2 linked regions of the Styela clava genome follow. The protein of the gene in region 2 purifies or fractionates together with the protein of the main gene of each other region. This does not show direct contact. Links are inferred from orthologs where the notes say so. Each region holds a gene or a part of one and is shown on either strand. Other genes may lie near its edges.

What was found.
Region 1: the proteins of intraflagellar transport protein 81 homolog (region 2) and intraflagellar transport protein 74 homolog purify together in Homo sapiens (affinity purification with mass spectrometry; 3 studies listed by BioGRID and IntAct, counting the BioPlex papers as one, with this or other methods). This does not show direct contact. The link is inferred for Styela clava from reciprocal best matches to the Homo sapiens genes IFT81 and IFT74.

The regions. Positions count from the first base shown.
Region 1 is NC_135260.1:21,840,595-21,852,396, reverse strand, and holds the start of intraflagellar transport protein 74 homolog, read right to left. Parts: upstream 5,755-11,802; 5' UTR 5,608-5,754; coding exon 5,559-5,607; intron 4,367-5,558; coding exon 4,323-4,366; intron 4,102-4,322; coding exon 3,914-4,101; intron 1,944-3,913; coding exon 1,784-1,943; intron 1,469-1,783; coding exon 1,409-1,468; intron 1,065-1,408; coding exon 924-1,064; intron 823-923; coding exon 691-822; intron 224-690; coding exon 48-223; intron 1-47. UniProt on the Homo sapiens protein: Component of the intraflagellar transport (IFT) complex B: together with IFT81, forms a tubulin-binding module that specifically mediates transport of tubulin within the cilium. Binds beta-tubulin via its basic region. Required for ciliogenesis.
Region 2 is NC_135262.1:1,877,574-1,889,922, reverse strand, and holds intraflagellar transport protein 81 homolog, read left to right. Parts: upstream 1-6,048; 5' UTR 6,049-6,175; coding exon 6,176-8,155; 3' UTR 8,156-9,274; downstream 9,275-12,349. Other genes in the region: CBY1-interacting BAR domain-containing protein 1-A-like, read left to right, coding at 9,321-9,373, 9,597-9,729, 10,908-11,009. UniProt on the Homo sapiens protein: Component of the intraflagellar transport (IFT) complex B: together with IFT74, forms a tubulin-binding module that specifically mediates transport of tubulin within the cilium. Binds tubulin via its CH (calponin-homology)-like region.

The sequences.
Region 1 (11,802 bases), on a different chromosome or scaffold from region 2:
CTTGAATATAGCTGAGTAACTTCTGAGCAAGAGCAAATATGACTTACTGTCTTTCCATAGTAGCAATTTCCTGATTATCACTTTTCACTCTGGCTAATAATTTTTCTTTTTCTGCCTCCGGACTCGAAAATGTTTCTTGTTCTTGCTGGAGTTGAGTATATTTATCCTGGAGTTCATTCATCTGTTCATATAATCTAACTGCTTCCAATTTTATTGGATTTGACTGCAATGAAATGAAGATAAATAGGTTTGTTAGGTTCAGAAATAACAACTTTTTGAGCAGAAGAAAGGACAATTTAAGACAAATCCTTCTGATCGTTTGTGAAAAACAAATAGCATATCCTTCCATGAATTTTGTCATATGCATAAAAAATAAATGAAGTTTGAGTATTTTGATAATTGAAGTCAGAATTTTCGACAGAAACTCAAAAAAAAATTAGTTGAGTTAGTGTAATCATCAGTATATTGAAAAAAACTTATATACGTCAAAGTTTTTATTATTCAACTTTGATTCCCCCAGGAGTTTGGAGTTGGAATCACAGACAATTTTCATTTATCGGAGTGAAGATTTTTTCATCTTGAGGTCAGGATTCATGTTTTCATTCAATCTGATGTTGGAAGTCGGCAATGATTGTATATTTTCACGATTTCACAACATTGGAGAAACCAGTGTACTTATTCATTTCATACCTGCAACGACTGTTCAATCTGTTGTTGCTTTGAACTCAAAGATTCAATTTCATCCTGCATACTATTGACAATGTCTGCGTTTTTCAAACTCTCTTTTTTCAGAGCAACATATTGTTCTCTCATTTCTGGTTCCTAGGAAATAAATCAAATAGATAAATATAACTGTTTCATTTCTGAAAGGTAATTTTACTATTAATATGACAAAAATAATACAAACATAATTCTTATCATACCATGTCTTGAACCCTGTTTTCAGTCATTGTCCTTTCATGATCCATCTCCCTCTCTAATTTAGCAAGTTGCTGATCCATTGCCTGTCTTTGTTCAAATATTCTTTCAAGACTTTCTTCTTCTCTATCATTTCGAGCTTTCAGCTGGCGCAAAATAAACGTGATTTTAATGATTATGGCACTGAGCATTATGCATGATTGGATAGTAGAAACAGCATCCAGCTAAAAAAAATATTCGAAAGCCAGAAATTTCAATTGGCAATAATGTGGTAATTCAAATATGATAGTATCTATAAGTTCCAATAGATAATTTTTATGAATTTGTGGGGCTCCGTAAATAGTATTCAACCTCTTCACACACTCCATAACACCAAAAGTTTGAGAACCCCTGCCCTATGCAAACATGTCAGATATAAAATACCAAAACAACTTTAGAAGATTTTATTGTACAATTCGACATTTTATAAATCCTCAATGCTCCCACTTACCGAGTTATAATCATCAGAAATTCCTGTAATTTCTTTGTTCATGTTGATTTGGTCAATCATCTACATAAAATATTGACATAAATATCTATTAATACTAATTACTAGAATAATTCAAAAAGGAATTTCTATGAAAACATGACCATGGAATAACCATCATATTGAATCTTAGAAAATATGATCTTTATAATGATCTTTAAATATTTACATGAAAAAAGAATATTTAGATCAATCTAATCAAGTATGAGGAAAGAATAAAAGACAATTACATTTGCTGAGAATGTGACTTCTCATGTTTGTTCCATGAACTCCCTAATAGTGAACCGAAAGTCAATAGGCTATATAAAGGAAGGGTCTTCCCCAACTTTCTATACTTGCCATATTATAATCATGAAGCTCTCCTTGAAGACCAGCAATCTCAGCCGCCAGCATTTCAGCTCTCTTTTCAAACATGAGATAAGTGTTATTTTCTTCCTGATATTGACGAACGTCTGTCTCAACCTTTTTAATTTCTGACGCTAATTCATTCGTCTTGGTCCTGCATTTCAAAAATAAGCAATTTAATGATTTCTACTTGTCATTCAGCTATTAAAATTTTCTCTTTTTTACCAAGATGGATTGCTGTATAACCTCTCGGTCATGCACAGTTTACAACAAATTTATCAACCCATTTTAAATTACCGTATTTCCCAGCAAATAAGTCGCTTTTCTAGACCCAAATTTTTGGCCTGATTTTGGGGAGGCCGTCTTATTAAGCGAGTATGATATTTTTCTTTTTTTCGGGATCGGTTCATTATTCAATTAAGACCATAAAATACCTTCGGCGATAGCATCCCCCATAATATCCTCATCAGGTCAGTTTAAATGAATTGGCGTTCTCGCGCTGTAAATCTGGATTTTCAACGCTGAGATTATCATATTTGAAGTTGCCGCATTTGTTTGTGCATCACGAGTGAGGGCTATTACCGATAAATGTGGGATTGCAGTTTGTGAAAATCGTCAATTGTTCTGTCAGCGTGATGTCTTATTTGAGCTGTAAAAGTCATAAATTTCCCTCAACATATGTTTTGTGCCGCCAGGACCGACCATAGTTACTTCATTGTTCACAAACAACCATGGCACTTGTGTTGTGAGATACGAGTTATTACCTAATCATATGTGACATGATGCTAAGATGAATGAAGGAGTGATATGTGACCCAAATATTCTTGATTAAAATATTGGCATTATGAAATACTAAAAATTAAACGGAAACACCATCTAGGTTTTATTTTAGGATGGCCTGTGACAGATGATTTTTAGACATTGCAAATCGCAAAAACATTCTGTATTTTACAATTACCGACAGGGCCTGACGCGACTATGATATATTTATAATACCGTGATTAATGTGAAGTAATTTAATTCATTTTTTGGAATGCATTTAACTGATTTTAATTTACCGGTAGAATTTTTCTTACGTCGATTTCCTCAAAATAATGAGTGGCAGCTTTGCGATGAAGCGGAATAATTGTTGCAGCAAGAGCTCATTTAAGTTGTTCAATTTGTAAAAATACGAATCAAAACAACATATAATCGAACATGTTTATGTGCACGGTTTGTGTTGGTATTTTGGAGTGATACTATTTATATTGTCACAATCGCAGATTAAATTGATCACAAATAAATCAATTAACACATTTCGTTTCGTGGAGATTTCGAGGTGATGATTATGTATGTATGTTTCATATATACCGTACACTTTATATGTATATTTATTGTCGTTAATTAGAGATAAAGAATTAGCAAGACAGTTAAAATTCCCATAGATGTCATGGATTGAATATTACGCTACAAGAAAAAGTCATTATGGGTTATCTTGCATGGTAATTTGAGATTCCGATTCTGATGTGATTTTACTGACCGTCTTATTGGGAGGTTATAGGCAAAAAAACATTGTTTCAGGCTTAAAAACGGGCCTCATCTTACTTACTGGGTAGACTTATTCGCCGGGAAATACGGTAATTGAAATTCATGCACTGTGATATTGAAATACAAAACAGGATAATATAATTACAGTAGTTAAGGCAGTAATGGAAAAAATCACCAAATGAATTGGTTCAAAAAACTGCAAATATAAGCAGTACATAAAGAGTAAAATCAAGACTTAAGAGAATAGAATATTAACAACTTTGCAAACAAACACACTCGATACCAGTTAAGGAACCAAATTAAGTCTTTCTCATCGCTAGCGATCAGACATGGTCGAGATATAAAGAATAGATGGTCACCAATTATTGTCCAAAGCTGCCACAACTGGTTCGGCACACAATTGACTTTCTTTCAAAAATTGATTAAATATAAACAGCTCATGCTTGGCATTAGCGGTAGATATCCGAAGTGATCAGCGTTAGCAATTGTGCTCCCTCCAAGATTGAAAACTGATACTGATTACGATCTTACGATCTACTGTTGCGAAAAAATCAACAATGATTCAAATATAACTCATTATACTTAATAATACCCTACCGTATTTCTCCAAGCCAATAAGTTCTGTCTTGTATCTGTCGTTGGGGGCCTTTACTTGCTGTTTTCATTCCACCGAGACCTTGCTGTGTCATTGGTCGATCCGCTACTCTAATTCCAGCAGGTAAAACAGTGGATGTCATGCCCGGTTGCCCTCCCCTTGTACCAGGGCGACCAGTACCAGGAACTTGCTGAAATGTACACAGTACATGACATTAACTTGACTTGTCAACAGGCTTGCAGATAGTTTGCGAGTTCATTCCCAATTAAGAATTATGTGAAGGAGTAATTACTGTTAGTCGTTTGATTCACAACAAGCTCACTTTCTGCATGGTTATTAATCGATTAGGAAGTCTACATAAAGAAGAGGAAAATGAAAAAGCAGCAAAAAACATCAAAAGGTACTACTCACTCCTGTGCCTATTCTACCTCCCATCGGTGGTCTTGCTCCCATACCTGCATAAAACAATAAGTAAAACATATATATCGATAATTTATTTGATAGGGATGTATAAAAAAAATCAAAATATTAATGATGGATATGTACAAGGCCATGAAGGCAAGAGATTGGCATATTTTGATTGATATTGGAGTCCGTGCCAGAGCCAGAATCTCCTCTCCAGATTCTGAAGTGGAAGTTTCGAAACTTACTGTAATTCTATTTTTTTATTGGCGATATTCAAGTTAAAATTTTCGAATAAAGCATTGAGTTGACCCTAACAGATAATTAAAGAATGGAGTTTGAAGTTGGACCCTGAGACAAAATTGCATTCTTTTCCGCCAACCTGGAGTCGAAAGTTGTTTTTTAAATGACAGAGTTCCGACCCCACAGCACTGCACATATATTAATATTTTAATTATAACTGATGGCAATTAATCAAATCGTTTGTTAGTCAAATCATTCAAATCGCTTGAGCAAGAAAACTATTGTTTGCAAATTGCAATATTTAAAAAATCAATGAGATTGTTGTAAATAATGCATATTTAAGCATATTCAATACCATTTTACAGTACGGCACATTTCTCTGATTTCGAATTAGCGGATATATTCTAGAACAGGGGTTGTGCAACCTGCAGGCAGCGGGCCAAAATAATTTAGTTTAATCTAGTATGTGTGAGTAAGCAAAGTTGATGCGTCTATGGAGGCCAGACGTTCGTCAGCATGTGTTGATTGAAATTCAGTAACATCATTCATCGGAACTCGTTTCTGTCGTTTTCTGCCCATTAATCTCAAACACTTCATTTTTTTTTTCATTCGATAGATCGGATATTTTCTTTCCAAGTGAGTGTGGTGATTTTAGGTTACGTTTCTTTTTAGTTTATTTCACAATCTCATTGACGATTACAACACAACATAACGAAATGTTAATGCATGGTGGATTTGCTGTCCTGTAGAGTCACCCTATATTTTAACATATATTTTATATCCATTAAGTAAGTCTTGTGTGTACTTTCGTGCAGGTATGTTCAAACCCCATAGAGCAATTGATTGGACAATAATACAAAACATGTAGCTGGCAATGCTACAATCTAACAACATGCAAAATTTCTGGAATTGTCCTGTAGAGTCACTTGGAATAGCCCTTATATAAGGTAATATAAAAACAGAAAAGATGTTGCAGCGACACAAGAAATGTTTGAAACTCACCACTTGATGGCGGCCTTCCTCGCATTGAGCTTGGTGGCCTCCCAGCCATTGTGCAATATTCAAGAATGACTTCCTCACTGACAAAGATAGTAATGTCAAACAATATCTCTACTTAAGCGGCAGTATTCTTATGTTGTTTTGGCTAGAGACTTTAGATATTTAAATAAATAACAACACACTAAATATACAAAAGGTAAACACTGTGAAATATGGCAGTCTAGCTGAAATTGATACAACTGTAGAACCAGAGCATGGATGTGAAGTCTTAGCTTACTGGATTAATGTTAACCATGTTTGAAAAACGAGGTAGAATCCTTTGGATCAAATCGAATTGCGAAGGCTAAAGACTTCAGTTCATCTAAACATAGTAGTTCAATCAAAAACAGCTCGAAATGCTAGACCATAAATTTGTTGTTCAAATGCAAACAATTCATCACTTTATTTCAGAAAGTAGCCTACTGTATACTAAAGTCCTGACTTTCGGACTAATAGCACACGTTGAATGCCATTTATGAACGTACAGACGTAGCTTATTTTTTTAAAGCACATCATGTAGGTACAATTTCAGGACATAATATAGTTGAATGGGTGAAATAAAAGTCATAATAAACATTTCAATATTGCCTTAGCTGGTGGATAAGTGGCAGAGTGAATGAAATACAATACACCTCTATCTCGCTTTCCTTGCTAAATTGTTCTAAAGTAACTAAACAAAAACACATTAGACTATATTTTCATTCAGATAAATTACTGAATTAACAGCCGCCATTTTAAAAATCCTGTATTTTGATTGCGCTTCTTAAATATTTAAAGTATTAGCAGTTTAACAGTTGGACATACTAAAAAAACTGAACAAGATAGACTATGACTAATACCACATCAAACCTTAACCATGAAATTTGCATTCACTTCTGGACTTGGCAACTGACAACATTCTGACATTGCTCATCTTATGTCTGTATGCAGGACCTGCAGGTATGTCTTTTTTTAATGAAGAAAGAATATAACTTAAATGTTATAAAGTTATTGACAAGTTTTACGATCATTACATTAATTGTTAATGTTAGACTATATAGGCTATTCATGGAAGAATTCATCATCCAGATTTTTCACCATAAAGATTAGACTATACCGTAACAGTCTATAAATTAATGCCGAAAAAATTAACAAACTGCGACGATATTTCTCACACGTTATCATCCACTTATCCCCCGTAGCTCTGCGAAATTACACTAAAATGCGGCCACAAACAAAAAAGTTACGACCGAAAACCCGACCGAAGAAAAAAACAGACCATTTTTTTTTCAATCATGTTTTATGTCGCCAACTACCCATTGTCTCTTTAAAAAATAATTGAAAATCCATACAGATATGAGAGATAAAAAGATGGAACTTGGCAGGTGGGTAGAGTTGTGTTTTTTTATTAACCATCTTTAAAGTTTCGCGTTTCTACATTTAAAGGAGGGAGAATAGGGGTTGCACATTTCCAATATCTTTGCCGACCAATTTGCGACCACCGTGTTTTTGTCTGTTTGATTGCTGGGATGCGGTGCTTTGTTTATTAATTTGATGAGTTTTGTTCGAAATAACCATGTTCTTGAAATATATGACTGTCAGAAATACAATTAGAAGCCCAATTTTTTCACGCATGGCTGTGTATGCTCTAGTCTCGACGCAGTAGAAACGATGTTCAAGGCTCGAAACTCGTGGTCGCACACTGGTCGTTCGGTCGCAAATGTGTTTTCAGAGTGTCGTAATTCGAGGTTTAGCGTGTAGAATAAATGCCAATGCACCTACGGTGAAAAAATTAACGGATTACCGGTACAGGATTAGAAATATTCGTTTTAGCGATTTGAATGAAATCGTCAACAGACTGGCTACACCACCTTATTACCATTTAAAAAATGCATGTAGCAGTGTAAAGAGAATTTTTTTTCAAGTTAATTCATCTGCTTATGACTGGTATTACAGTAATACCGTACGGTACCGGTACGGTATCAACTTCAAATATTACCTGGCTAACTACTTACCCAGAATGGAAACCAGACGAGAGGCAGTGGTTCGTCATATGATCAAGCCGCCTGATATACTTTCCTCTGCGTCAGGATTAAAATGTAAACCCCTATTCTATTCAAAATTCCTCACGGACAGACGGAGCAGCCGAATACATTTTTAGTGATAGGCTTGCAGTACAATACTTTACGCACTATTTCCAGCGGTTTCCTCGACCTTTGACACAAAAATAAAGTCTCGCTACAGTATGTTACAGCTTTCAGATTTTGGTGATCTATGGATGTGTCCCCCAGTATCGGCTTCCTTGTTTACTTTGTGACATTGGCCAATCAGCAAAATGCAAAAAGTAGGATAGGATTTACATATTTATCGCAGGGGAGAGGGAAGTCGATGAGACGACTTAATCAGCGCTGGATTACCCATTGAACAATATAAGCACGTGCTTGGGGCACCAAGCAAAGAGGGGTAAGAGAAGTTTAGCAGACAACTCAGACTTCAAAATTTTCGCTCATTTCTCGTCTTCAAGTATCATATTAACCTTCTTTATTAAAAATTTTTGTTGTTTTTCCCCCTAGTATTCACCTTGTTGATGCATTTTTGTTTAAATAAATTTCTTCTCTTTTAAACTATTGGACCAATGGACTATTTGCACGGTATGGTGGTTCCGTGATCGCATTTCAACGATCTAGTGGTCAGCGATGTCGGGAGTCTTTCGATAAGGTAGACCAGAATGGTCCAAACCCTGTCATGACTTGACAAATCCTGAACTTTTTTTTTTTAGTTATTCCAACTGGGGTGGGATCCCTAGATTCAAACTCGTTTCCTAATCACAATGTCGGGAATTATGCTTGTCGAGGTCACGGAATTTCAATGCTGTATTTATAAACGTCAAGACGATGCCAATATGAGAATGGCGTCCTGTGAGCTGTGATCGGTACAATGAGAATGAATTGCCTTGTGCAGACAGGACCAAACCGATGAGATGGGTCGCACTTCTCATCTCAACTCGCGTCGGGTAACTCCTTATTCGGAGAGAGATTTTGTGCCTTTATTTTAGGAAAAACACTCCTCTGTTTTAAAATAAGGGCCATCTCTGTCTCAACGCCGCGTAATCCAGGTTATCTTGGGCTAGGTCCCGAAATACCAATTTGTCGAACTTGGTTGTTATTTGACAATAGCGTTAAGCCTGCTCACGCTGCAAATTTTTAAATTACTCAAAAATAATAATTCGTAATATAATGAGTGTCAAAAGAAAGGCGACATAAAGAAAACAAGGAGAAAATGTATTCTTGCCCACCACAACGGTAAACCACAGCTTCTGGTAAGTAACATCTGTCACGAACGAATATAATTTGAAGCGTCATAATAATTCGTAATATAATGAGTGTCAAAAGAAAGGTGACATAAAGAAAACAAGGAGAAAATGTATTCTTGCCCACCACAACGGTAAACCACAGCTTCTGGTAAGTAACATCTGTCACGAACGAATATAATTTGAAGCGTCATTATAAACCCAAACGCGAGATGCGGAAAATACAACGATAATTCTCGGTAATTAATTTCGAAATAACTGAAGGCTTTATATATATCTTCTTTAAAAGAACGCAACCCATGCAACATAATAATAGGCTGAATCGAACGGTAAACTCTAATTGTTCATTGAATTTAAAGTAAGTAAAGTCGCGATATTTCGGTCACTTTTGTTGTTTTTTTCGACTGCGGCCCGCGTGACCTTCTAAAAGGTTTTTGTGGTCCTTCTCGCTATATTGGACCACCCTGAGGTAGACTACTAAGTACCGGTAAAATTTCAAACTACAGTTGTGACTTGTTTTGTATCCTTTGGTATTTCGATTCACGATAAGATTGGACGCATGAATCTTCATCGTCGAACTTCTTCAGGATTAGAGCTTAACCGTTATACCGGTCTGATATTGCGTGTTTGCAGATATAGGCTAATATATCGGCAGTAAACGGCCGATATATATATATATATATCGGTTATGTATACCAGTTAAAAAAAAACCTAAAAAATATTCGTAAAAGTTGTTTTATTTACTGTTGGTTGTAATAATTTTTGATGGATGATACACTTATGTAGTTTATTGTTTTTATAATTTAAAATACACATAAGAGGGCACCAAAGTCTTCAGTGCTTAGGGCACCAAAGGGACATAATCCGCCCCTGGGCTTAATGATATGGCGAACCACGGCCTCTCGTCCTGTTACCAGTTCATGTCGGGTATGGGATTAGTTATGTCGAAAATAAGTGAAGCACAACCGGTGTATAGCAAAACGATTTTATTTGCCGATGTTTTGCTATACACCGGTTGTGCTTCACTTATCTTCAACATGAATATACCTGGTGGCAATCATGCGCTATGGGATTAGTTAGTCAGCTATTTGTATTTTTCCGAAGCGAGGACTTGATGGTGGAGGAAGACGTACCCGACCAACAGTTACGTGAACCACCCTACGGCGGCGAGAAGTCCAGCAATCCTCCCGCACATAATTAACCCAGCTAGATTCGAACCCACACAGGGTAATCCTAGTTGTGGTGGTGAGCGTATTCCTAACGCTTAGCACGATGCGCCACATCGCCGAGCCATATAAGTTATAAAATCCGTCACGTAACAATGGCTCTTTTCGCATCCGCTCAAACACTTTTCTCACTCCGACCGTTAATCGTTGCTCCGACAGATTTTCAGGCTGGGTCGTAAACATTATCTCGTTTTCGCGCTTTTGAATTTTATCCGCTAGTTTTCAGTTGTCAAATGAATTATATAAATTATTTCATAATTATAATTATAAATCGAAAAATATTTCAATGATCATATGTTTTCTTAGTAGTTTGAGTTTAATTGCAGTTTCATCAAAAATTAATGTAGAAACAGCTGTGATAGACTAGGCTAAAATTCTTTACCGACCCCTTTAGTGATTATTGCATACTATGAATCAGGTTGATGGTTTGAAACAAATATTCCATTTTAGAGGCGCCAACTCGTGAAACCGCTCTCATAATAAGCGCCGAAAATTTTGCAATGGTAAAGGATAGAAAAAACTTTCCGGGGTCAAATGTCGAGGAAAGGTTCATGGTGAAAGAATGGATGGAGTGCTTCCGTCACAATAAAAATCAGGAGATAATTATAAGCAGAATCAGAAATATTTTATGCGCCATTTCAATAAAAACACATTCAACATTAAAGTGTCTGTAATAAGCTTATATATGTGTTCAGAATATATGTTTTCCCCCTAGCATATCTATAGCGATTAATTACCACTACACATAGATTGTTTGTTGATTGGTTTGATTAGTTGCGTCTGACACAAATTTTGACTGACCAAGTTTGTCAAACTGACGATAGACACCGACAGTCGTCAACGCCCACGTGAATGAATATGCGTTAAAAATCTATATATATATATATGTTCATTAGTCTAATAGATTACCTGCTAACTAGGGAAACAAAACCTTAGAACAATTGATGTCAAGTCAAGCCTGCTGGTAGGCCTACGCCTAGGCCTACCAATAACATAACAGTATAGTTTGTCATCTGCTTTCTATTGAAATGGGAGAGTTCCGGATCTTTTGAAAACAGTAGAATATAACTGAAGATCCATTCCGTTGTCTATAGCATACGTACAGCCAACGGAACAATACGAAATAACCATTTTCAAAAGCCAAACAAAACGGAAACGTATAATCCGACTTGCAACTGAAAGGAGCCAGCTGGACGTTTTTTTTTTGCCGTCCAGTAAACACAGTCACGTGACCCGTGCAAGTCCTCTAATTTTGTAATGCATTCGGGGTTTGATTTGCAGGACAAAATGAATTTATAAGTACATGACTTAGTTATTTCGAAATTTTGTAAATGGATCTTTGGGGTGAAGATAGTAGCCGAAGTATGGGGTATATAAATGCTGTATATAATATATATATATATATATATATGTATATAACGCTATAGTAATATTACCCTATCACATCCCGGTGAGGTTTTGCTGGATAAAAATTCGTAACATAGGCAAAATAAAAGGTTTTGTTATCACCTATTGTGCTCTATATATCCTCAATATGAGTATACCCGATGGCAATAATGTAATAACTATTTATATTTACGTCTAATTGTCGTAAGTAAGTACGTAATATGTGTACCAGGTTAGTGTTAGGCAATAATTTTATTTCAATTTTTCTTATTTTTGTTTCATTACGAGTTCGGAAACTAGCCAAGTT
Region 2 (12,349 bases):
CATTCCGTGCCCCTCAACTTAATTGTTAAGATTCATGATGACCCGTTGAGACACACCTACATGCTACACCAGGGGTCGGCAACCCCTGGCACGCGTGCCAATTGTGGCACGCGAGAGGATTTCTCATGGCACGCCAAGCGATTTGACCCATATTCAGATATTTGTTTTCGTAGTGCGACAAACATTCTACAATTGAACAGAATATAACAAATCGACAAATTCAATGAAAAAACATGCAATATTTAACTTCAATCGACGAGAGGCCGAAATCTGTACCCAAAATCGGTGTAGGGTGCAGTAAGCGTGTGCAGTCGATCATCCTCCTCCTTTCAAATTTTGCTAAAATTCCTGACTGTTTTTATCAGCGTGACGTGTTATTTAGGCCGTAAATACTTTTAGTTGGTGCTTATTCTCCCTGAATCACAACAATTATGTCACGACAATGATAATAATTACTTTATTTTTGCCCATAATTGAAAATCTCTCGTAAGATAATTTCCATGCACGTTATCCAATAAAATGAATTTGTTTCTCATCCGCTTACTATTCAAATCAGGTAGTCGGCTATGCAAACCATACACATAAAAATGTTTGGCACGCGAAGGTGCTCATTATTCATAAACTGGCACGCTGAGTTCAAAAGGTTGCAGACCCCTGTGCTACACCGTTTAATATTACCTACCTTAACTTTTTATCCATGATGACACCCCCCACCTCCCTAATTTCACTCGTCTCAACTATTAATTCACGATGACACATTGATACACACTCATATGACACGCACCTTAACTTGAATCCCCTTAAATTGGATTCACGATACGACACCCCTTAATTTCACCCACCTTAACTATTGGATTATTGGTAATACATCGAGACACACCTACATGCCACACCCCTTATCTTCCCCCACTTTAACTATCGGATTCCTAATGACACATTCCTACATGTCAAACCCTTAACTTCACCCCCTTAAATTGGATTCATGATACCCACCCCTTAACTTCCCCCACATCAACTATCACATTTATGATAATACATTGAGACACACCCACATGACACACCTCTTAACCACCTTTACTATTGTATCCAGGATGACACACCCGCCCCTCACCATATTTTAGTAGGGACACAACGGACATAGCCATTTTAGTATGGACATGGCGAACATACCTATTTTAGTGGGGACATAGCGGGCATAGCAATATTGGTAGAGACATAGCCATTTTAGTATGGACATGCCGTTGTACCCGTTTTAGTAAGGACATAGTGGGCATATTCATTTTAGTAGGCACACAACGGACATAGCCATTTTAGTAGGGACATAGCCATTTTAGTATGGACATGCCGTCGTACCCATTTTAGTAAGAACATAGTGGGCATATCCATTTTAGTAGGGACATAGCCATATTAGTAAAGACGTAGCCGTTTTGGTAAAAACGTAGCCGTTTTGGTAGGAACATAGCCATTTTAGTATGGACATGGCGTTGTACCCATTTTAGTAAGGACATAGTGGGCATATTCATTTTAGTAGGCACATAACGGACATAGCCATTTTAGTAGGGAAATAGCCATATTAGTAAAGACGTAGCCGTTTTGGTAAAGACGTAGCCGTTTTGGTAGGAACATAGCCATTTTAGTATGGACATGGCGTTGTACCCATTTTAGTAAGGACATAGTGGGCATATTCATCTTAGTAGGCACATAACGGACATAGCCATTTTAGTAGGGACATAGCCATATTAGTAAAGACGTAGCCGTTTTGGTAAAGACGTAGCCGTTTTGGTAAAGACGTAGCCATTTTGGTAGGAACATAGCCATTTTAGCATGGACATGGCGGGCATACCCATTTTAGTAGGAACATAGCGGACATAGCCATTTTAGTAAAGACATGGCGGACATATAGCCATTTTAGTATGGACATGGCGGACATAGCCATTTTAGTAAGAACATAGTGGGCATATCCATTTTAGTAAAGACATAGCGGACATATAGCCATTTTAGTAAGAACATAGTGGACATAGCCATTTTAGTAAAGACATAGCGGACATATAGCCATTTTAGTATGGACTTAGCGGACATAGTCATTTTAGTAAAGACATAGCATACATATAGCCATTTTAGTATGGACATAGTGGGCATATCCATTTTAGTAGGGATATAGCGGGCATAGCCATTTTAGTAGGGACATAGCCATATTAGTAAAGACGTAGCCATTTTGGTAGGAACATAGCCATTTTAGTATGGACATGGCGGACATACCCATTTTAGTAGGAACATAGCGGACATAGCCATTTTAGCAGTGGCGGCGCGTCAATAGGGCCAACCGGGGCAATGCCCCGGTTGTTTTTTCGGCATAATAAAAAATATTTGAAAAATACCTCAATATCGGTTGCACACACTGTCTACACTAGCCATATTCTCCCGACATGGTTCATTTTTCGCTCGCAAAGCCTTCGCCGAACGTCGACAGGGCGACGCCGATTTTGCCCCGGTTGCTCATTGTATATCGTATTCTCTCTTTTATCTTCCACTCGCCGCGTTTGTCTCGTTTGTTTTCTGTTTCTTTTACTAAATCATCGGGGCTAGCCCCGAAATTATGACGACACAATGCCGACGTTTCTTACAACAACGTGTTGACATATTCACGCATTCCTTCTCGTTCGTTGGTTGCTTGAAGAGTTGATAGTTTCCTCGCCTTCGTTTTTGTCGCTTGTTTCGCTATTTGAATCAGTTAGAGACCTTTAGTCCATTTGCTTTCGATTTTCCACATTCCTTTTAAGCTCCTCACTTCTTTCCGGCTTCGCATTTCTTGGCCTTAGACCTCATAATGAATAAGGTTGATGCACTACTTCGCACTCCGTTTTCGCAGCTGCCGTTGGAACAAAAATTAGAGGTACCACGTCTTGGGCCTTACCAACCAAAAAAATGTTCACTGGAACAATCCCATGACGGAGGAAAGCGTCGGCGTACATTCTGCGCAAAAACTTGGTATAAAAAACACGAATGGTTGTGTTACAGCGAGGACAAAAATGCACTTTTTTGTTTTTATTGCCTACTTTTGCTACCGCCCGTGACTCACGTTGGTGTAAATTTGGTTTTAGAGATTTTAAACATCTTTCCGAGCGTGCCAGGGATCATCAATCTTCTATGGAGCATCTGGACAATGCAGTAAAATACCGAACATTCGGAAATGTTAATATTGCAGCACGGTTGGATGAAGGACGCGCGGTTTCTATTCGTCGGCACAACCAAAACGTCGAGAAAAACCGCCATGTTCTCGGTCGATTGATAGATGTTTTGAAGTTCATTGGTTGTCACGAGCTGTCCCTCCGTGGGCACGATGAACGGGCTGGCTCTTCTAATAGAGGGGTATTTTTGGATATGGTGGAATACACCGCATCCCTGATACAGTATTGAGAGATCATCTTGATGCCGCAACTGTTTCGAAAGGGACATCTAAGGATATCCAAAATGATTTGCTCGACTCAATGTATAAAATTTATTTACAGCATTTGGCTCTGGAAATTGAGAATTGCCAACTGAAATCACGTGCGTTTCCCAACTGGCTGTGATTTTTCGGTTTGTGAAAGATGGTAAACCTACCGAGAGATTTCACAGCTTTGTACCAATCGTTGATCGCACGGCTTGCGGGATATCGGCTGTACTGAAAGAAGTGTTACAGCCTTACAACGCGAAGTCAAAATTGATAGCTCAAACTTATGCAACCGATATTGAGGTATTTTTCGAATATTTTTTATTATACCGAAAAATTGCCCCGGTTGGCCCTATTGACGCGCCGCCACTGGATTTTCCTCATGCGCATTTTTTACATTGTTATGCACACCAATTTAACCTCGTTATTAAAAATATGTTTCTTGATACCCCTCTCGTCCGTATATTTTTTGCAAATGTTTCGGGGTTTTTATTCATTTTTTTCCGTTTCGCCGAAGCGCTCTGACCTCCTTCGCCAGATATGTAGCCGCCGTCTCCCAGCTTGTGCACCAACACGTTGGAACTTCCAATCACGCGTGGTGCAGGGCGTGTCCGAAATTAGGTCTGAGCTCATTGAATGTTTCAATGGCATTCAGAGCTCTCCGGTTTGGGACGAACGCTCTGTGAGGGAGGCGGCAGGTCTAAAGCGTCTGCTAGAAGATGGTGAGTTTTCATTTTTTCTCCACAATATTCTATCACGTGGATGTATTATACGGCGCATTGCAGTCAAGGCTAATGGATGGAGCGTCTGTGCAGTCGTGTATTTCAGACTTCTGCGATGCTGTATCTCGTATCCGGGAAACAATAATATACGACGACACATGGAGTGCTTCTTTACGCCGCGGGCAAACAACGCAGCGTTTGCATTTGTCTGCAAAGGAATGCTGTGACATTCTGGTGAATCAAATAGGCGATCGTCTGCGCACTGAACACCTTGCCGCGTTCTCTTTGATGAACCCCAAAAATTTTTCAAAATTGCACGTCAATTTCCCATCCATTTGTTGGCTACTGTCTCCAAATTTTACCCCATGATAAACGTGGGTAAATTGGAAAATGAATTGCGATGTATATACACCAATCAAACTTTTTTGAACATCACATCAACTTGCGCGCTCTATGGGTTCCTCATAGATAACACTCTAGTAACTCCCATTGCGGCGTCTGCAAAATTTCTGGACATCGTTTTGACGACGCCTATTTCTTCCGCCGACGCAGAGCGAACATTCAGCACGCTGAAGCGTATTAAAACGTATCTCAGAAACACAATGAAGCAAGATAGATTAAATTCCTTGGCTGTTTTATCCATTCACAGAGACGTTATTTCTGGGATGCATGACTTTAATCAGCGTGTTATTGAGCATTTTGCTTCCAAGAAACCGCGGCGTGTTGCATATATGTTCAAGCAGTAGAAGTCTAGCAGCATATATATCTATGAGTGAGCGACGCATGTCCTTATCTTTGCATTATCTTTTCTTTCTTCGTAGTAACGTTTTAAACCTTATTTTAGGTTTTGTCTGCTTTCCCGAAGTTTCTGTTAATATGTCATTGTATTTATCTGGGTAAATATTGCCTTTCCTTTTGAAAGAGGTTTCAAAAACAATGTCTATATATATTAATCCCTTGACTTGGACCGGTTTTAAAGACACTTTCTTATCGTTAAAAATTGTCGCTTTTGCCGATTGGTTGTTACCGATGGAATGGTTTTTATACTCATGAAATGATGGGAGAACTTACAGCGCTCATCCTGTCCCCGTAGATGGGGGTGACTTGGTCCCGCAGTAGCTTGCCCCGGTTGTCAAAATGACCACGCGCTGCCACTGCATTTTAGTAAACACATAGCGGACATATAGCCATTTTAGTATGGACATGGCGGACATAGCCATTTTAGTAGGGACATACCCCTTTTAGTAGGAACATATATCAAAAGGGGTGCATGCCGCACATTTGTGTTTTAGGCCAATATGGTCTTGTGCATACATCCCGTCTTCAGTATTTATAATTACTTACTCTTTTATATTGCTTTTACGAGACGAATAAACATACATACATACATAGCGAGCATAGCCATTTTAGTAAAGACATAGCGGGGACATATAGCCATTTCAGTATGAACATGGCGGACATAGCCATTTTAGTAAAGACATAGCATACATATAGCCATTTTAATATGGACATGGCGGACATAGCCATTTTAGTAGGGACATACCCATTTTAGTAGGAATATAGCGGGCATAGCCATTTTAGTGGGGACATAGCCATTTTGGTAGGAACATAGCTATTTCAGTATGAACATGGCGGACATACCCATTTTAGCCGACTTGTCTTTCAGCCTGCGGAATATTTATTTGAACTAACTTAGTTTCTAAGCGGTTCAAAAATTGCAATTTTCACGTTACTGTATTGTGAACTTGTTGCTGATTGTTTATGGTTACGGAAATAAACCAGGAAATCGATGCCCGGCGGAAACTTCCACTGTCCTTATTAACCGCTTCATTTAAGCACCGTTGTGCATCGAAGACTCTGAATTATTTATTATAGCTGTTCAGTGACCCTTGACCGCGTTCTATGTTTGTTAGCAACCTGCATTCCTGAACGTTTCTCGTTGACGCGTTCTTGTTTTTCTCAGAATAGCGTCCACAAATTGTGAAGTTTCTATGTGTAATTTTGGAAATTAACAACAAAAATGAATGATCAAGTGAAGAAAATTGTTGAAATATTGAATAAGAAGCCCTTTGAGAAGGAACTTAGTGCGATTGCGTTTCATTCGCTTGGATCTGAGCAGCTTATTCAGTTGATGAATGATATTTTAGCCCATATTGACAGCAGACATGCAGGGGATATACGGGAAGAAGCTCCGGACGCTAGAGCAGGTCGAATTTTGAATGCTTTGAAAAATCTGAAATATTCACCGCCTCCAAATGCCGATGTTTCAAGTTTTCGACAAGGAATTGTATTGGGGGAAAAGGAAGTTTATTGCCCAATTCTATTTTATCTCCTGACAAATCTGGATTCACTGAAAACTCGTGCCTACTTAGCAAAGTTTTTGGTGAAGTTACAGCTTCCTCCTGAATTTGTTCAAGATTTTTCGGATGCACAAATGCAAGAGGCTTGGCATCGGTACGAAGAACTTCAAGATCATTTTCTGAACTGCCACAAGGAGTACGTTGATCTGAAAAAACAAAGTCATGGTACCGGTGAAATCCGCAGCGATATTACCACCATGGAAGAAGAGAAAGAAAACCTTTCAAAACGTGTAACTCGACTTCGTAAAAAAGTTGAAACATTTCCAAATCTTAGCGAAGCATTATCCACTGCACAAAACATGCGTAAAGAAAAAGAACGAGCAGATGATTTGAAGTTAAAAATACAACAACAACGACGTCAGTTACAACTCAGCGAACAAAGATTACAGAACGCTAGACAGAGTCTCCAAGACGCACGACAGGCTGGCTCGAACGCAAACCCCGAATCGATAATTGGGAGAATGGAAGAAGACAACCGTGTCAATAAATATTTAATCGATGAAAAGTTACCGAAAGAAATGAAAAGTCGGAAAAAGTTTTTACAGAGTTTACAACAAGTTGCATTGGAGCCTGCGATCACGCAAAACGATCTGGACAGGATTGAATCAGATATTCAAGACATGAAAAATAATATCAACAGTCTTGTCGAACAACGAATGGTCAAAAATTACCCAGCGAAAGATAATTTGACAATGTATCGCCAACAAGCTTCGATCCTACAACATAAGAAAGAGACTGTGTCGGAATCATTGCAAGAAACGCAAGAAGAGTTTCAAAAACTGGAAAGTGATGTTAAAAAAAAGAGACAACAGCTTACTGAAATGGGGGGAGAAGTTCTCCGTGGAGAAGCGTTTAAAAATTATGTTTCAAAGTTACGTGGAAAAAGTAACAATTACAAAAAGTCCAGACAAGAGTTATCAGACCTTAGAGCAGAGCATGGTGTTCTCTCTCGCACTGAACAGCTTCTAAAACAAAAACACGAAGATGCGCAAAAAACTCTCCGCACTCGAGAACTTAAAAGTGGAGTTTCAGGTTTTCGTGATACCCAAGATGACTTGGAAAAAGTATCGTCGATGAAAAGTGAACTTGATGACGCAAAACATCGTACTTTAGATGACATGTCAGATGCCGTAAAACGTCTTAATTCAATCATCCAAGACAAGAAATCTGACCTTGCCCCGCAGATCCGTGAACTACGACCTTTACGTCAAAAGAACCAGGAATTGATGCAGGAATGGACTGAGAAAAAGGGGCATTACGATGGAGTTCTTGCCGGGCTTGAGTCAAACCGTGCTCAATTGGAACAGACAGTTACAGGATTACGAGAATTCTGCTCAGAAACGGAGAGCCGATATTTTTACTTGAAAAGCATGAATAAAATTATCGAAGTCCAATTAGAACGAGCAAATAAGGAATTACGGACGTACATGTCCGCGACTGGAGCAGATAAACAGAAATCCTATCGAGAGATTTACAATAAAAAGATACAAGAGCAAGAAAATAGAGCAAAAGCACTTCGTGAATCTCAGAAGCAAGTTCGTGAAAATCACGATCAGAATCAAAAACAAATGTTAATGTGGTCGGATCTAGATAAAATAATGCAATGTAAATTGGACTGTGCTAAAAAGATGATGAACTAGGATTATTCATCAAAATGACTGTATTTTGAGAAGATATTGGGCCCAGGGGACGGTACATTACTCCTATATAAGCTTCAAATTTTTGTATTATGGTATCGTATTTTGATGTTGAATTCAACAAATACTTTAAGACAATGAAAATAGTAAAAAGCAACATAGCCTGGGCAATATGAAAAATCTCCAGAATTGCTGATGTCCTTTGACTCTTGGTTTAAAGACCTATTATTGATTATTGAATCCCTAATTAAAGGAATGAAAGGAACTATTATTTTTACAAGAACTAGAATTCTTTTTTGATTCAGCATCAATTCATTACACTCTGCTCTGGGTATGGGGGGATTTATTAGATACCGTACACAAATTATTGTAGTACTTTGTGCATGTCAAGTTATGTTGAAATATTAGCCTTTTTGTATAATTTTATTTCAAAGCCTTTAACCTTGTGTTGCTTATCTGACTGTTGTAAAATGTCATCGGCCCAGTACAAGATTTATCCCAAAATCTTCTAATGAGCTAACATTTATAAATTGTAGACATTTCTCTGATATCTGGTTCAGAAAGTGTTTAATATTGGTAACAAAAATGAATTCGTAATTTTATTTTATTTTCACTATTACTGCAATGTGATTTAAATTTGTTCTGATCACCATGCATAAGGCTAGCAAAAGATTCGTCTTAATTTACCAAGAATCTAATTAGATGCTTATTTGGTTCCCGGTTTTGGAAATGTGTAATACCGAGTGCAAGGTTTGAATGTGAATTTTTCGGTTTTTACTCTGAATGCAATGTTGTTTCAAATTGGGGGCTAACCCTAACAAGTTCAGATTTTATTATCTAAATAGTTGGGAACCCTTCCTAGCAAAATTGTACATATTCAAACACGCCTATATTGAAGTATTTTACAAAATACAGTATTTGGTCAGACTTTTAATCCATTCTGGCTTTTTAACAACCAGAAACCATTGAAGCAACCAGGGCAGAACGACCTTGTCCTAATAAGCAAGTGTCAGTGCTGCTATTTCCACTTCACTGCTTTTCTTTTGTGCATATTAGGAACAGTACTAAGTAGACTATGATTTGATGTTCATGTTTGTTAATAAAAATGTTATTTTTGTTAGATTCTATATTATATATTTTAAATTATTTTTATCGAAACTAGCAATTCATGATGAATCGGTCGAAGAACTCTGCGGCGCAGACTCCTGAAGCGAGAGCAAGGTAGGCACTAAGTTTTCAATGATTCCTGAAAGCACAGCTTTGGAAAAGTAAAACATTTTGATATCCTGGCTTTCTTATGGGAATGCATAACAAATAGTCATAATGAGGATTAACATGTTTATTCCAATGGAATCCCGTATGAAGGCTTAGTCGTGGCAAATCACGACCTCTCGTCCGGTTGCCTGCCTTTGTCTTCATAATAATTTGATATCATATCTTCTAGGGACAATCAAACGAAATTTATTCGCGAAGCTGTTACCAAAGTAGAGAAGAATTTTGGGACAATCTGTGGACAAATGGGAGCTGTGAACAGAAGAAGCAGCAGATTGAGAGATAAATTTGATGAAATGGCAAAGGTGGGATTGTTGACATAGAATTTTTTTGAATTGCTCAAATCAAGCATGTGCGCTTAGTAAAAAGTAATGAGCCTAAACAACTGAATTCCATGACAACTACCAGTATAATATTTTCTATACAAAACATGATATATATATATATATGGATATGATTTACATATTTATCCCGGGGGAGAGGAAAGCCGATAAGACGACTTATCCATATGGCGAACCACGGCCTCTCGTCCGGTTACCATTCCAAGTCGGGTATGGGATTAGTTTTACTGTATTGTTTGTTTTCGGAAGCATGGACTTGGTGGTGGAGGAAGCCGTAACCGACCAGCGGTTACGTGAACCACCCAGCGACGGCGAGGAGTCCAGCAATCCTCTCGCACATAACCATCCCTGCATGGGATTCGAACCTGCGAACCCACGCAGAGTAATTAGAGGTGCGGTGGCGAGCGTATTCCTAACGCTTAGCCCGTTGAGCCACACCGCCGCACCGATTTACACTTATTTATGCCATATTTACACTTATCCTACAAACAATGCTCTGTTTAAGTAGCCAGCACTGTTTTGCAGTTTGCTGGGACAAATAGTTTTTTTTTGTAACTATTTATCCAAAGGCTTCCGAATTTATAGTAATTGGAAATGAAAATGTTTTTTTATTTTTTCAAATTTTATCAGAGAGCTGATTTTGCTTTTGCTGATAAAAAAACACATTGCTCTTTCAATACTCAATGATTCACTTTCGTATTTAGACTTTTTATACTTTATACTTCGTATTTAGACTTTTTATACTCTTTCTTTATACATTGCCCAATTCTATCTGATATCCATGGCATTCGATTTTGCTGATTTCAAAAAAAAATTATGCTCTCTTTATGATTTTCATTGAATCCCCACTATTTTAAAATAAACTGATGTAGCCAGTAGCCACTTTGATTCTCGGCAACCACAGCTCGTGAACAAAGAGATGCAGGTTGCCGATCGCTGACTCAGGATAAAGTTTAGTCAACTTTAATTAAATTTGTTTAATTACCAAATTTTGTGAAAATAATCTTCCAACTCAAACAAATAGTTGTTTGTGTAAACCTGTGTTATCTTTGAGAACATTTTTTTCAGATTACCTAGGAGGAAAAGTATAAAACTTAACATAAATTTCATATCTTTTTACGAATTTCATTTTTTTTTACCAGTTTATGCTGAATTACGCCAACACTGAGCCAGGACCATTGAAAGTAACACTAACTCAATTCGCGGAACATATCTCTGCTGTCCAGGACTACAGGCAAGCTTTGGTGAGTTTTACATTTGTAATCCTGATTCTCAGGTAAAACAAATTTAGTACTGTTCAAATGGTTCCTAAACCAATCCAATATGGCCTGCCGAACTTGAGTAAAATAGTTTAACATATTTCGTTTTTTTCTTTTTGTGTCCTAGATATAATAGTAACAATTCAGTTCGGTATCTTGACAATTTGGTATCTTGATTATACATACCGGTACCGGTATCAGCTCTTTGCAGGCGCACCTCTCTCCTGGTCTGCGATTATCCTTCAGTTTTGGCCTTCAGTCTTTGGAAACCACTAGTCCAGAGGATTGATTTTTTTTATTACTATTGGACTGGGTACTATTGTTGTTTATTGTTTCTCTCCAAAAAAGATTTTGGTTTCGAGCTTCCAAAGACAAAAAAAATCTTTGGGCTGAAATCATTTTTCTACAAACTTGAACACTTATTAAACTTTTGATGGTTACTCCCGTAGTATATGTACCAGGGTAAGGTTAGGCCATCTTTTTAATCCGATTTTCCTTATTTTAGTTCTATTACGAGTTCGGGGACTGTCTGTGTTAGCCAAGTGAATTGCCCATACGTTTGTCCCTGTACACAACTTAATATAAAATAGGCAAACAATATTAGTTACCTCCATATCGGTACACATACTTCTGGAACGCCACTTCAATTATGTGCACTTCTACATGATATTGTGTTTGACCTAATCATATTCACTTCAACTACTCGAAGTGTTATGTGCCACCATAATTCAGTATGTTTTTTTTGCAGCTGTTCTAAATAAACGGTTTTTAGTTTTCCATATTGAGGGCTCTCCCCTGCCCTATTCCCAATAAACACCCCCTCTCTTAGAAGGTGGAACAGCTGAGCTTTCTTCGAGTTTTTTTTTTACTTCTGAGTGAGTGTACATGGCCTTGCTTTTAGTAAATTTTTCTTGAAAAAATCCTCCCACAGATAATTCAGCTTTTACTTTATTTTTCTTCTGGGTCGAAAATGATAGTTGCAAATGTCGTAATTGCATTGCTGATTGTTACTTTTATACAATACTTTCCGGAGGAGGCACTGATAAGTATGAGCTACTATTTTTGAAGAAAAAAATTTTTTTTTTTTTTATCTTTGGGGAGGAAGTTGGCATGGCGATTGAACACGATGTGTGTAACCTGCGACAACAAGATAGTTAAGTCCAATGTTTTAACAACTAATCCAGGGGTTCTCAACCTTTTTTCTGTCAAGTACCCCCCGACTCACGAAACAATCAACGCGAACCCCGGTAATCTGACACCGAACAAAGTTGTGATATTTTGACTAACACATTGTTGAAACAACAATTTATTGACTTGCAGCACAC